Linked DNA regions of Arabidopsis thaliana. The protein of the gene in region 2 interacts with the protein of the main gene of each other region in a pairwise test. Each region holds a gene or a part of one and is shown on either strand. Other genes may lie near its edges.

Region 1 (7,838 bases), 2.2 Mb from region 2:
CGGGCACGGAGGACTGTTCGTGGCTCGGCAGATGACATAGGATGGTTACAGCGTGCCCCGGAGATGCCTCCTGTTGAAGATGGAACTGATAGGTTCAATAAAATTCTGGAAGACATCGGGTATGAATTGGTTGTAGTTGCATGTTTTGTGTGCTTTGTGGCCTTTTCAATATGCTGTTTAACATCCTGTTTTTTACTAAATGGCTGCGTTGATCTGGTTTTTATATCCAGGCATGGTGTACACAGGCTTCCAAATACAGTGGTGTACTTATTGGTTCCAGGTAGCAATTCTTATTCTTTGCTGCCAGCCACTTAAACTACATTACTGTATATTAGGACTCTCAAAATTAGTTGAATTTTTTTTAGGTCTTTTCAGCAATCATGGACCTCTATATTTTGTGGATACGAAAACGAAATTCTCAAAGATGGGTTTGGCGTGTCATATTGCGAAGATTCACAGCGAGGTAATCATAACTAACTCAACTTAGTACAGTTACATTTGGTGTATAGCATACTAATATATGGAGAAATGTTTATATATCAGTCCTCGGTTGAGAAAAATGCGAGAGAGATAAAGGAATACATAGAGGAACTCTGTTGGGGATCTAATAAGCGGGTTCTACTTCTTGGGCATAGCAAAGGAGGCATAGATGCAGCTGCTGCTTTATCACTATACTGGCCTGAACTAAAGGATAAGGTCGCTGGGTTGGTACTGGCGCAGAGTCCATATGGTGGAAGCCCAATAGCTACAGATATCCTCCGTGAAGGACAACTAGGTGATTACGTCAATTTGAGAAAGATGATGGAGATTCTAATCTCCAAAGTCATAAAGGTTTGCAACATTCCTGATCTAACAAAGTCATTTCAGTTGCATTATATCAGCTTCTTGTGATTGCCTGTTAAAATCCTTAGTTAGGTGGAACCGAGAAACTAGGGATAAACCAAAACTTATTTTGTTTCTGGATTCTATTGCTCTGCTGATCTTTCTGATGAATTCCTTGGAACATTGTGAAGGGTGACATTCAAGCATTGGAAGATTTAACATACGAGAGAAGAAAAGAATTCTTGAAGAATCATCCGCTTCCCCGAGAACTCCCCACGGTTTCATTCCGCACAGAAGCTAGCATTAGCCCAGCGGTTCTATCCACTTTATCACACGTAGCACACGCTGAACTTCCTCTGACAAACCAAGCCGCAAAACTGCCAGTGGTAATGCCACTTGGTGCTGCAATGGCTGCTTGCGCTCAGCTACTTCAAGTCAGATACGGTGAAAAGAGTGACGGGCTAGTGACTTGCTGTGACGCAGAGGTTCCTGGTTCTGTGGTTGTTAGACCCAAACGTAAACTAGACCATGCCTGGATGGTGTACTCTTCCTTGAACGAGGTTCCTTTAGAAGCTGATGCTGCTCAAGTTTGTGAAGCGCTCTTAACTTTGCTTGTCCAAGTTGAGCAAGAGAGGCAACAAAAACTCGCAACAAAAATCGATTGATAAACCAAATTGTTTTATTTCTACTTTCGTCTTGAGACTTCAAATTACTGTATTTGTTTCTATCTTTTTGTTTTATTTCTTACTAATTTACTATCAGGTTTGAATCACACGATAACAAAAAAATTATTACAAACGGTAGATTTTATATTTATAAGACTACTTAATTTGCTTCTTTTTTTTTCTTTTATTGTTGATTAATTTTTATTAGAAGATTAGTTATGTTTTTCTCTCTATTCCTTTAACGAACCGTGATCGTGCGGCTCGGATCGTTGGAGATTCTATGGACGGCCGATGCTTATATACTGTAAGTGGAATATGTAATTCCCGAAAGTGCCCTCCAGATGTTCACAAAATTACGCCATCGTACTCGAATTAACTTCAACTCTCTCTTCTCTCTCTCTTTCTTTTCACTCTTGTTTTTGTTTCTGTGAGTGCTGTGTGTGTTCTCGGTTTGTAATATCTAAGTCGCACAAAGATCAGACAAAGTCTGTTTGCGTTTGATAGCATTAGAGTCTGATCGAATTTGGAAGACCTGTGAGATTAGGGTTTCTTTTTGTTTGTTTTTTTTTATTCCGAAGGAGAGCTGCGGAGCAATTGGAATTACCTCGGTTAAAGCAATCACGTAGCTTTGGATCGTTTAGGGTTTTCTCATTGGGTTTGGGGGATTTGTATTCGAGCTTCCTCAAACTCAATCTGATGGTGATGTGAGACAAGGCTTAATCCTGTTAATTGGCGATTCTAGGGTTTTTCAATGGCGAGCACAGGCGAGCCTGACCGTAAAAGGCGTCACTTTAGCTCCATATCACCTTCTGAAGCTGCAGCCGCCGTAAAGAAACAGCCTTTCTTTTGGCCCTCCTCCGAGGACAAGGTTTCTTTCTTCTTCATCTCCCCCTTGTGCATGCCCTTTACATCTATTCTCTTACTTATCCAATCAATCATAGCTTTCCAGCTATTAGAGATTCATATACTGAATGTCTTTTGTCTCGAATTTGGTCTATTTTGGAATTGGGATTCTCTCTCTTAAGGAGTTTGTTTTCGTTTGATACAGCTTGATACTGCAGTTCTTCAGTTCCAAAATCTTAAGCTATCACAAAAGCTAGAGGCTCAGCAGGTTGAGTGTTCTATTCTTGAGGATAAACTCTCTCAGATCAAGGAAAAACAATTACCATACAACTCCAGTTTGAAGACTGTCCATAAGTCTTGGGAAAAGGTAACACTGAATTTGCTTTCGATTCTAATAGAACTTGGATTAGATCTCTTTTTCTAGAGAACTAATTAATGCTTGTATAGCAGCTTACAGCTTCAGTGGAATCATGCTCTGTTCGTGTGAGTGATTCAAGCAGCGGAGCTCATAGGTTTGTAAACAAGGAGGGTATGAACAACTTAAGCCCGCCTTTTCTTCGTTCTGTTAGTGCTAGGATCTAGTTTAGATTTGGTTTTATATGTTACAAATATGACTTTTTGAAAGGTTAACTTTAAATTGCTACACAGATGGGTCTTCTCCAGCCGTGAAAAACGATTTCATCAACCGGCTACTTGAAACTGGTGCTACTGAGAGCTCCTCATCCAATATCTGCTCGAATCAGATGGAAGAAAATGGAGTGAATACGTCAAGCCAGATGACGCAAACCTTGTATAATCTAGTAGCCGCGACAGAGGATTTGAGGTGTCTGAAGGATGAATTATATCCCACAGTTCTCAGAACCAATCTTGGTAAAGGTATGACTTCCACTGCGATCAATTGTCAGCTCTTGTTATGGCCTTTATAACATTTTAGTATTAACCCAGGTCCTATGTGGAATTGCTTTCTTTTCTAGATTTGTGCGGTCAGCTAGCTCTGAGTGAGTTGGAATCAGAAATTAAAAGTTTCAGAGGGGATCTAGATGATGTACTTGTGAAGTTCAAATCACTTTCTAGAGAATTGCAGAGTCATCGCGATGCTGATGCTAAAGTTAGAGTAGACCTCAAACGAATAAGAGGTAGCTACTTAGTCTCGTCTCACTCGACTATATACTGTTAAAATGGATTTTTTAATTGGCATTGTTTATATGGATATAGTATTCATGCATCAAATGTAAATTTGTAATCATATACGTGGCTTGACAAAAAAAGGTCCTATATACATGAAAAGCTACTGAAATCATATCTCGCTTTTGATTGATGAGGATAAGTGTAAGTAGAGGTGATCAAATTGTGAATCTTCCAATTCCACGCCTGTGTATTTATGTCCAGCACTACTCAGTTGTTTAATAGCCATGATTGGATTTAGATCATAGAGATTAAGATTGAAGAGAGAGATACATTAAGACTGGAAGAAAACCTCTATGGTAGAGCCAGCTGTTAAGAAGACATGTAGCTGTGGAAGATATACTCATTAGCGAACTGATGGGTGTACAAAACCCTTCTGAGACATGAACTTCTTAGTTTTCTTTTATACCATTTACCCATATTTATATATTTCGGTAGATTTTAGGAGATAGAGAAGCTGGTAATTCTTTGAGAATGACATACATCCACATAAGTGAAGCATCTTAATTTTGTTGATAAATTACCCGTTTACCTTAAGATGTAAGATTTCAATACTGACAGTAGCCACAGTTAAGAAATTCAAAGAGTTAAAATTTATTTTAGTTTACATGCCTGCTTTTGGATTAATGCTTCTTGACTACCGCATCAACTGATATTATACTTTATTTGGTCTATTCGAAGGGGAGCTAGAGGATGAGGTTGTGGAGCTTCAGCAGTGTAATGGTGACTTGTCAGCATTGAGAGCAGAAAGGGATGCAACAGCTGGGGCGTTTTTCCCAGTGTTGAGTCTTGGAAATAAGCTTGCTACCAGTGATCGGGAGAGGGATAAACAAAGGGATCTGCAAGACATGGAAACAGTTCTGAAAGAGTTAACGGTATCTTTGTTTTTCTGATTTGTTTTCATTGGTAATTCTTTAAGTTTTGGGTTGATAACGGCCTGGTTTCGGTAGGTCCTGGCTTCAGGCAGGCTACAACAGCTAAAAAATCTTCATGAGGAGAGGACAAAGATGCTTGGAAAAATGAGTAATTTACAGGTCAGTGTATTGATCCAATTGGGGTATTTGTATTAGTTTGTCTCTGTATGGGGTTTGATATATGAAAATTTGTGGAATGGTAGCCTCTTCCTATTGCTAAAACTGATGTAAGAGTTTTCTAACAGAACAAGTCAAAGTCTGTGAGGTGCATCTCATCTTCTCAAGCCTGCCTTTCTTTGAAAGACCAGCTAGAAAAATCCAAAGAAGCAGTTTTCCAGTATATGGCTTTACTTGAGAAACTGCAGGTTATATCTGGTTTGCGATTTTCATTTTGTATCTATGTTTATAAAATTTACGTTGTATATTTAGTTGTGAAGCTTTCCTCCATTCGAAAATTTCAGGTTGAAAAAGATAGTATAGTCTGGAAGGAAAGGGAGATAAATATAAAAAATGAACTAGGTGATGTTTCTCGAAAGACGTCTGCTGTTACTGATTCTAGAATGGCTTCTTTGGATTCGGAGATACAGAAACAACTGGATGAAAAAATGCGAATCAAGACTAGGCTGGGAAATATATCAAGAGAGCGAGGTCACAAATTGATTACTTTGACTTCCAATTCTGTATCTCCCACCCACACCTGTTTCACTTTGGAGTCTGATTAAGTTATTCGTATGTCAGGTAGAAAAGAAATCTTTGCAGATATGAAGGCATTAATTTCTTCGTTCCCCGAGGAAATGAGTTCCATGCGTAGTCAATTAAACAATTATAAAGAGACTGCTGGAGGTATTCATTCTCTGCGGGCTGATGTCCAGTCCCTCTCTGGGGTTCTATGTAGGAAGGTGGGAAATAATGTGAACAGTGATTGATGCTTATTGTTACAGTTTATGTTATGCTTACTTAATAAGCTTAATTGGTGAACAGACAAAAGAGTATGAAGCATTGCAATTGAGATCAGCTGATTATGCTTCTCAGTTAGGTGACCTGAATGCTACGGTATGATGCAATGTATCTACCTTTTTCAGTGTACTGCCCATGACTTATATATGTTGACAGTGTTCATATTGGTTATTGTTACTTTGCATTATTTCTTGGAAAAAGTATAGTGAAAAGGCGGATTAGCAATTTAAATCTTGTTAAATGTCTTTGGTTGGCAAAGTGGTAGTTGTTATGTTCTTTACTTTCAATTGATTGGAGTCTGTCATGCAGGTTTGTGATTTGAAGAACAGTCATGAGGAGTTAAAGTTGTTTCTGGACATGTATAAACGTGAGTCCACTGATGCGAGGTAAGCACAACTATATATAACGATATCTAAGATTTCAATTCTTAGAGAAAAGTTTCCTTATCTTCCCCTTCTCACTGTCCAAATATATAGTATAACAACAAGTGCTGTTATTAATCTTGCCTTCTGACTGAACTATCGAATCTTGCTGAAAGTTTGTTGTTAATTTTTCTTGCGTTTCTGAAGAAACTTATGTTCACATTTTCAATTTATCCATGACAGCTTTTAATATCTGATCTATTTTTACAGTTCCATCTGATAAAAACTCTTTTGGATGTGTTAGGATTTGTTTATCTTCTTATCTTGACTGAACACATTATTATAATGCGGTTGGTATATTGCCTTAAGCATCACTGTCGATAATGTGCTATGGCAGGGACATAGCTGAAGCCAAGGAACAGGAGTACAGGGCTTGGGCTCATGTTCAGAGTTTGAAATCATCCCTTGATGAGCAAAATCTGGAGTTGCGCGTTAAGGCAGCAAATGAAGCTGAAGCCGTTTCCCAACAAATGTTGGCTGCTGCGGAAGCAGAGATTGCTGATTTAAGGCAGAAAATGGATGATTGTAAAAGGTAAATAAGTATAAGTAGAAGTCTGCAATTTATAGATGCAATCACGCAGTTCTTCCATAGGAATTCTTTGAGAGTTTTTTGTTTGACAAGGATAAGTCTTTTCTGTTTCAGGGATGTCGCCAAGCATTCTGATATCTTGAAATCTAAACATGAAGAACATGGAACATATCTTTCTGAAATACAGGTTGGCTTATGAAATTTCGTGTTTCTTTGTTCTTAACATATTTTAAAAACCTTGATGTTGCGTATCGATTTACAGTAACTATATTCTTTTAGACAATTGGAAGTGCCTATGAGGACATTGTACCGCAAAACCAACAGCTTTTGCTTCAAGTTACAGAGAGGGATGACTATAACATCAAGGTATCGTGTCCAAACTCTTCTAGTTCCTCTATCTGATCTATCTCTGTGACTTCTCACTTACTCTTATATCTAGTAGTGTTACATTTATTCAGAGATTGATGGATCGTTTTAATGGGCATGGACCAATTTCTGTGGTTATACCTTGTATGTTTTGCTAGAATATCATGAAAAAAAGGATGGTTTGTTACTTGGATCAGACAATGAGATGTAATTTTTTGCTCGCCCATTGTTGTTTCAGCTTTTCTTGGAAGGCATAACTTCTAGGCAGATGCAAGATACTCTGCTTATCGATAAATACATCATGGATAAGGATATACAGCAAGGCAGTGCATATGCCAGTTTCCTATCCAAGAAATCATCAAGAATTGAAGATCAGGTATATCTGTGTGTGCCCGTATGCTCAAATTGTAAGCCTCCTTATTGTGAGACTTTGACTAAGGTGTTTTTCTTTTTCCTTGCAGTTGAGGTTCTGCACAGATCAGTTTCAGAAACTAGCGGAAGATAAATATCAAAAGTCTGTTTCTCTTGAAAATCTGCAAAAGAAACGTGCAGACATCGGGAATGGCTTGGAACAAGCTAGGTCAAGGCTGGAGGAGTCCCATTCTAAAGTTGAGCAAAGTCGGCTGGATTATGGGGCATTAGAACTGGAACTGGAGATTGAAAGGTAAATCAATTGCTCCCTCCATCTTCTCTATCCTAATTAATAGTCATAAACAAGTGTTAGTGATGAAGGTATCGTTCTTTTCTGCGTATATCAGGTTCAATAGGAGAAGGATAGAGGAGGAAATGGAAATAGCCAAAAAGAAAGTTTCTCGTCTTCGGTCTCTCATAGAAGGATCATCGGCCATTCAAAAGCTCCGACAAGAACTCAGTGAATTTAAAGAAATTCTGAAGTGTAAGGCCTGCAACGATCGCCCAAAAGAGGTAAAGAGTCACTGCTCTCCATTATTTAGATCTCAGCAAGACGCTCAAATCATGATCCCTTGAATCTTTTAGTCAACTGCGTGCGTGATTGCTGATTGGTTTTGGTCTTTGGCTTAACAAACTAGGTGGTGATTACGAAGTGCTACCATTTGTTCTGCAACCCATGTGTGCAAAAGCTCACAGGAACTCGACAAAAGAAGTGTCCAACATG
Region 2 (4,751 bases):
AGTAATAAAATAATACTTACTAGATTAAGACATAGAGTGGATTGTCAATTTGTAATAATATTCGTTGTTGTGTCACTACCCGGAATTACCCGGAATCAAGAAAGTGACTTTTATTGGAGCGCCAATGAATATGATTTCATAACCGCCTTCTTGATACGTTCTATTCATTACGGTCCCAAGTTCACATCTTTGAACTTACGTTAAATCACATCATTACAAAAAGAGTTTTGGTCTCCAATCAAATTAAATCTCCAAAGAGATTTGGTCTCATTGCACATCTTTTCCTTTTTAGAAAATTCCAAATGAAGAATTTGCTTCTGAATATGAGAAAATTCGTATCAATAAATTTTTTCATTAATCTACAAAAGGAAAAAATTGAAATGCATCATATGATGTTTTGCAGAATCAATGACTCTGTAACAAACAGAGACTAAAAGGGTCCTTAAAGGTAAGTTGGCAACTATCTTCTTGTTTAAGAAATGTGTTAATCTTTGTGAGTCAAGGTAATTAGGCTAAACTTGTTTTGTTGATTAGCCTTGACGCTCTCTGCATTCCAAAATTTTGTTGACGAAGCTCTTTTAGAGTCAATAGAAAATAACAATTCAGTAAAACAAAAATTACACATATCTTTAAGATTTAATAAAAAGCCTAATTCGAATATAATGTTGCTTTCTTCTGGACTTAAACACAAATCTATACAATTTAAAAATATTCAAAACATACAATCAATATCCTTGAAAATGGTCTGTTGATCGACTCTTCTGTCGCCGGATTGCTTGAACGCTACAGTGGGAGCGATTCTACAACTCCTCCTCTGGTGTTCTAGCACTAGTTCACCGGCTAACCAATCCAGCTTCTCATAATTGCTTTCTTCATTGATTTTCTTACCACCAAACAGAACAGACTCTGCATTCTTCTGCTTCAGCATCTCCTCTGCTACTCCCACAAGCATATTCACATTGCTTGGACTCGCATCTGTGTCTATGTTTGGTTTGCACGGACCAAAGCTTGATCCATTCGCCTATAAAACCACACAAACAAAAAGTTCTAGTATCAATATCAAGATTCAACTTCACATAACTAGTCTAATAAGAGCCTCACACTCCCATGCACTAATAATAAGCATTTACCTGAATACGGACGTAGTTACTCCTCCTACACTGACCAAACGCCATGGAAACAGCCTGATCCACAGTATCAGCTGCTCCATCAGCAGAAATCCGAACCGCAGGTCGAGCCCAATGCTTAGCCTTCCACTTCATAACCTTATCACAATCATACTTAACATCAACCAACTGTCCCGTACCAAGTGACAACACAAGCAAATCCTCAACACCTCTAACAAAAGGAAACTCTTGCTTATTATGCAACACATGAGTAATCGCTGCAGCCGTTGGATTACTCATTGCTAAACCACCATCAACAGCTACACACCGTGTCTTACCATCAACTGATCTCATCTCCACCGGCTCAAACACTCCTGGCTCAGCCCAAGTAGCTCTACAAACTTCCCACAGCTTAAAATCATAACCGTCCGTTTCCAACGCATCAGCACGTGAGAACAAGAACGGTGCAGAGCTCGTGAGGTCGTAACAAGGAATCAAAACCGGTTTAAGCGTATCCTTAAGCGTAAGCTCTTCGAAAGACTCCTTCATCGCTTTCTCAAGCTTCGAACCTGACCCACCCGAACCACCCGACCCGGTTTTCATAACCCTGTTTAGTATCCCCGGTGGTGATTTGTTGTAAAAGCTTTTACCTTTCATAGCTAAAAACCGCCACGTGTCTTCCGCTTTGAAGATCGGACGGTTACCATCGCTCGACGCAAAAAGCATCGCCGTGAAAATCCCACCGATACCGGAACCGGAAGCTACGTCGAAGTAATCAGCGATTCGAGCATTCGGGTCACCCGATTTCGATTTCAGAGCATGTTCCAGATAAGCCAAAGCTTTTCCAGGTATAATCCCTCTCATTCCACCACTATCGATACTCAAAACACAAACTTTACCTCTCTGGTTCTTAACTGTACCCGGAACAACGCCGTTTAAAGCTTCCACCATCGCCGGTGATGCCGTTTCTTGCTCTGGACTCGGGTCTCTGCTTCTTGATTCCATAAGCTTCAGGTCATCATCATACCCGAAAAGAAACTTGCTTTCGAGAATAGAGAAAATCTCGTAGCTAAGCTTATCAGTCTCGATGCTCGGTTCTTGCATATCCGTCGCCGTCACTCCACCGTCACCGCCGTTACTCTGTTTTACCAAATGCTTAAAACCTCCGATAGAATCAATCGGTTTGTTGTGTACTCTTTGCATCGTAGTTAACATAAAAGAGTATTTAAATCAAATCTTTAAAACACTCTCTAGGCATTATCGCCAAGACAAGACAAAAACCTAATCTTTTTTATAAATCTGTCATAAGAACACGAGAAAAGAAAACAGAGTACGAGAAGTCTTATTCGCAAACGATGCTTTTGTTCTTGTTTCTGTCTTTATTTTCCCTCCTTAAATCACTCGAAATTTTCAAAAAGAAAAAAGGAGAATGATTTCTATTTTGAAATCTGTCTTGAGAAGACAAAAAGAGTGAATTTTTATTATTACTCAGACAGTATCAATAAAGGGAGATGAAGAAGAAGGAGCAAGAACAGAGAAACTGCAAAGGATCTTCTTTTATATCTCACGCGTGACTTTTGTTGCTTAGTAATAAGGAATGAAGCAATAAATATTAATACGGGACCAGCAGTTACATGCATACAAATCTTTTAAGTGTCTGACAATAATTCAAGGAAATTGTTTTATTGAACTGACAAGAATTTGAGAATTTTGAGGTGTGTTTTGCTGAAAAGTCATTCCTTAATCATGTACTTAAGGTGGGATTATGTATGTGGTTGTTACATTTAAATACAAATGAGTAAAAATACAGATTTGTATGGATTATGATTGATTAGAAGAATGTATTTCAGTTCTATTCCATTTCCATATCCACATGACTAAAATTTGAAAATTCATAAAACGAGTTGAGGCAATATTAGTTAAACACTCTCTTTCGGAAAACTTAATTCCCCAATACATTTCTAAACTTTTTCATATAGTAGCTAGTATTTTCAATAAATTGATACAACTTTACATCTGAATTGACATAATTTTAGTATCCTATAAGTTATGTTATATTCAGAGTCGGTATGTAACATTCAGTGACGATTATAGCCTTTAAGGTTGTTGTGTGATTTTCAATGCCGTTTATTATCTTCGGAGTTGGGTTGTGATTTTAGGTTTGGATTTATATTTTTTTTTTTGTTCTGTGTAATATCATTAAAAATGACAAGGTCTAGCTTTATAGAGTAAGAGCCTACGGTTTTGAATCTTTGGTAAAAAAGAGTTGAAGACAAAAGATTTGGAAGTCATATAGTGCGAGTTCATGTTAACCAAAACTTCATTAGCTAGGTTGCGGTATCACTTGCGTTTACGTGTTGCGGTGTTCATTGAAGAAAATGGTAGCTGGGACCGAGACTTGGTTGTGCACGACATTATTCCTCTACTTCGAAATTGATATGGTAGAATGATGAAAAACGAAATTTGGTAGCATGAAAACATATCAGTAAAGTCATTCAGTCCTTCCCAACGTCTTGTGTCTTATTAAGTAACATTTATGAAAGCCAATGAGAAAAAAATAAAATTTGCTGCTCTTTTTCTATATTGTGGCAGTTGGAATTTCTTGTATATAACATCTTGCATTTATTATGTAGGTCTAAATTCGGATGATGAATTGATGATACAATAATAATAATGTTAACTCAAACCATAATACCATATACAATATCAAACCAAAACTCAAATTTGCGGCCATCACCCGAAGTTATCGGAACTTTAATGTTTTAAAATAATATGTTTGGTGGTAATTGACTCTTGTCTCAACAGTAATCAAATGACGAAATGATTCACGTGTATTGATTATAGTTGACTATATAAAGGAATCTATGGAGTCCAAATCAAACAGATGCAAGCGTTTAATCATTTCTTTTTCCTTTTTTTTTTTTTGGCAACAAGCATCAGTAACCAATGAATTGTTATACCATCTTCCAAACAATATACTAATAAACGTTTTAAGTATTATTGTAGGATTGATCATCAGTTAGCCAACAATCTGAAACATAGTTACGAATAATTGGATTTGGTTAATTCGAACAAGCAAGTGACCAGTACTGGAGTAGTAAAGTTGGTGGTATGGGCACCGACGGGGAGAGGTCCACGTCACTGTTGGTCCCCGTAATCTTCGCTTCTTTCTTTTGTCTTACACAAATCTGAATAGTTGATGTTAATAAAGATGAAGAAAGGTTTTTGAATCTTTTGATTTTTTCTTCTTTCTTGTTCCGTTTTTGTCGCTGCGCGTGGAGCCCTTCGACTACATTGATGATCTATTTGCCAAACAAATATGGGATCTTCTTTATTTTAAGCATAATATAAGAGTGTGGTTTACTTTGCCCGTGATTTTGGGTTTGTTACTTAACTTAGTTGAGTAATAAATTTTGTCTATCCGTATTTAACTTGTTCAAAACGGCTATTTCGAGATTTTATATACACGTTAACAAATTGTCTACTTGCATGTTATTTGTCCCGTTTCATTACGTGAGATCATATATCGAATGGGACTCGTGGTATGAGATAAGGAAGGGGTACTCTCACTCGTGGTATATATACCTAATTTTTAAATTTCTTTTGTTTAGTCTCTGCATGTAGTATAACTTTTTTCTTGTTACA

The links.
Region 1: the proteins of PLP6 (region 2) and HUB1 interact in binary tests that used the Arabidopsis thaliana proteins (3 or more experiments, as listed by UniProt).

What each region holds. Positions count from the first base shown.
Region 1 is NC_003071.7:18,542,648-18,550,485, reverse strand, and holds the start of HUB1 (histone mono-ubiquitination 1), read left to right. Parts: upstream 1-1,833; 5' UTR 1,834-2,238; coding exon 2,239-2,355; intron 2,356-2,535; coding exon 2,536-2,697; intron 2,698-2,780; coding exon 2,781-2,859; intron 2,860-2,978; coding exon 2,979-3,206; intron 3,207-3,304; coding exon 3,305-3,466; intron 3,467-4,196; coding exon 4,197-4,390; intron 4,391-4,465; coding exon 4,466-4,549; intron 4,550-4,674; coding exon 4,675-4,794; intron 4,795-4,890; coding exon 4,891-5,077; intron 5,078-5,167; coding exon 5,168-5,328; intron 5,329-5,410; coding exon 5,411-5,482; intron 5,483-5,695; coding exon 5,696-5,772; intron 5,773-6,145; coding exon 6,146-6,340; intron 6,341-6,451; coding exon 6,452-6,524; intron 6,525-6,616; coding exon 6,617-6,703; intron 6,704-6,779; coding exon of another isoform or gene 6,780-6,815; exon of another isoform or gene 6,816-6,939; intron 6,940-6,941; coding exon 6,942-7,079; intron 7,080-7,164; coding exon 7,165-7,367; intron 7,368-7,461; coding exon 7,462-7,627; and 2 more. Other genes in the region: AT2G44970 (alpha/beta-Hydrolases superfamily protein), read left to right, coding at 1-119, 231-280, 366-463, 544-831, 1,014-1,487. UniProt on the Arabidopsis thaliana protein: E3 ubiquitin-protein ligase that monoubiquitinates H2B to form H2BK143ub1. H2BK143ub1 gives a specific tag for epigenetic transcriptional activation and is also prerequisite for H3K4me and maybe H3K79me.
Region 2 is NC_003071.7:16,374,343-16,379,093, forward strand, and holds PLP6 (PATATIN-like protein 6), read right to left. Parts: upstream 2,827-4,751; 5' UTR 2,322-2,826; coding exon 1,131-2,321; intron 1,022-1,130; coding exon 713-1,021; 3' UTR 539-712; downstream 1-538. UniProt on the Arabidopsis thaliana protein: Possesses non-specific lipolytic acyl hydrolase (LAH) activity. Hydrolyzes phospholipids as well as galactolipids. May play a role in disease resistance.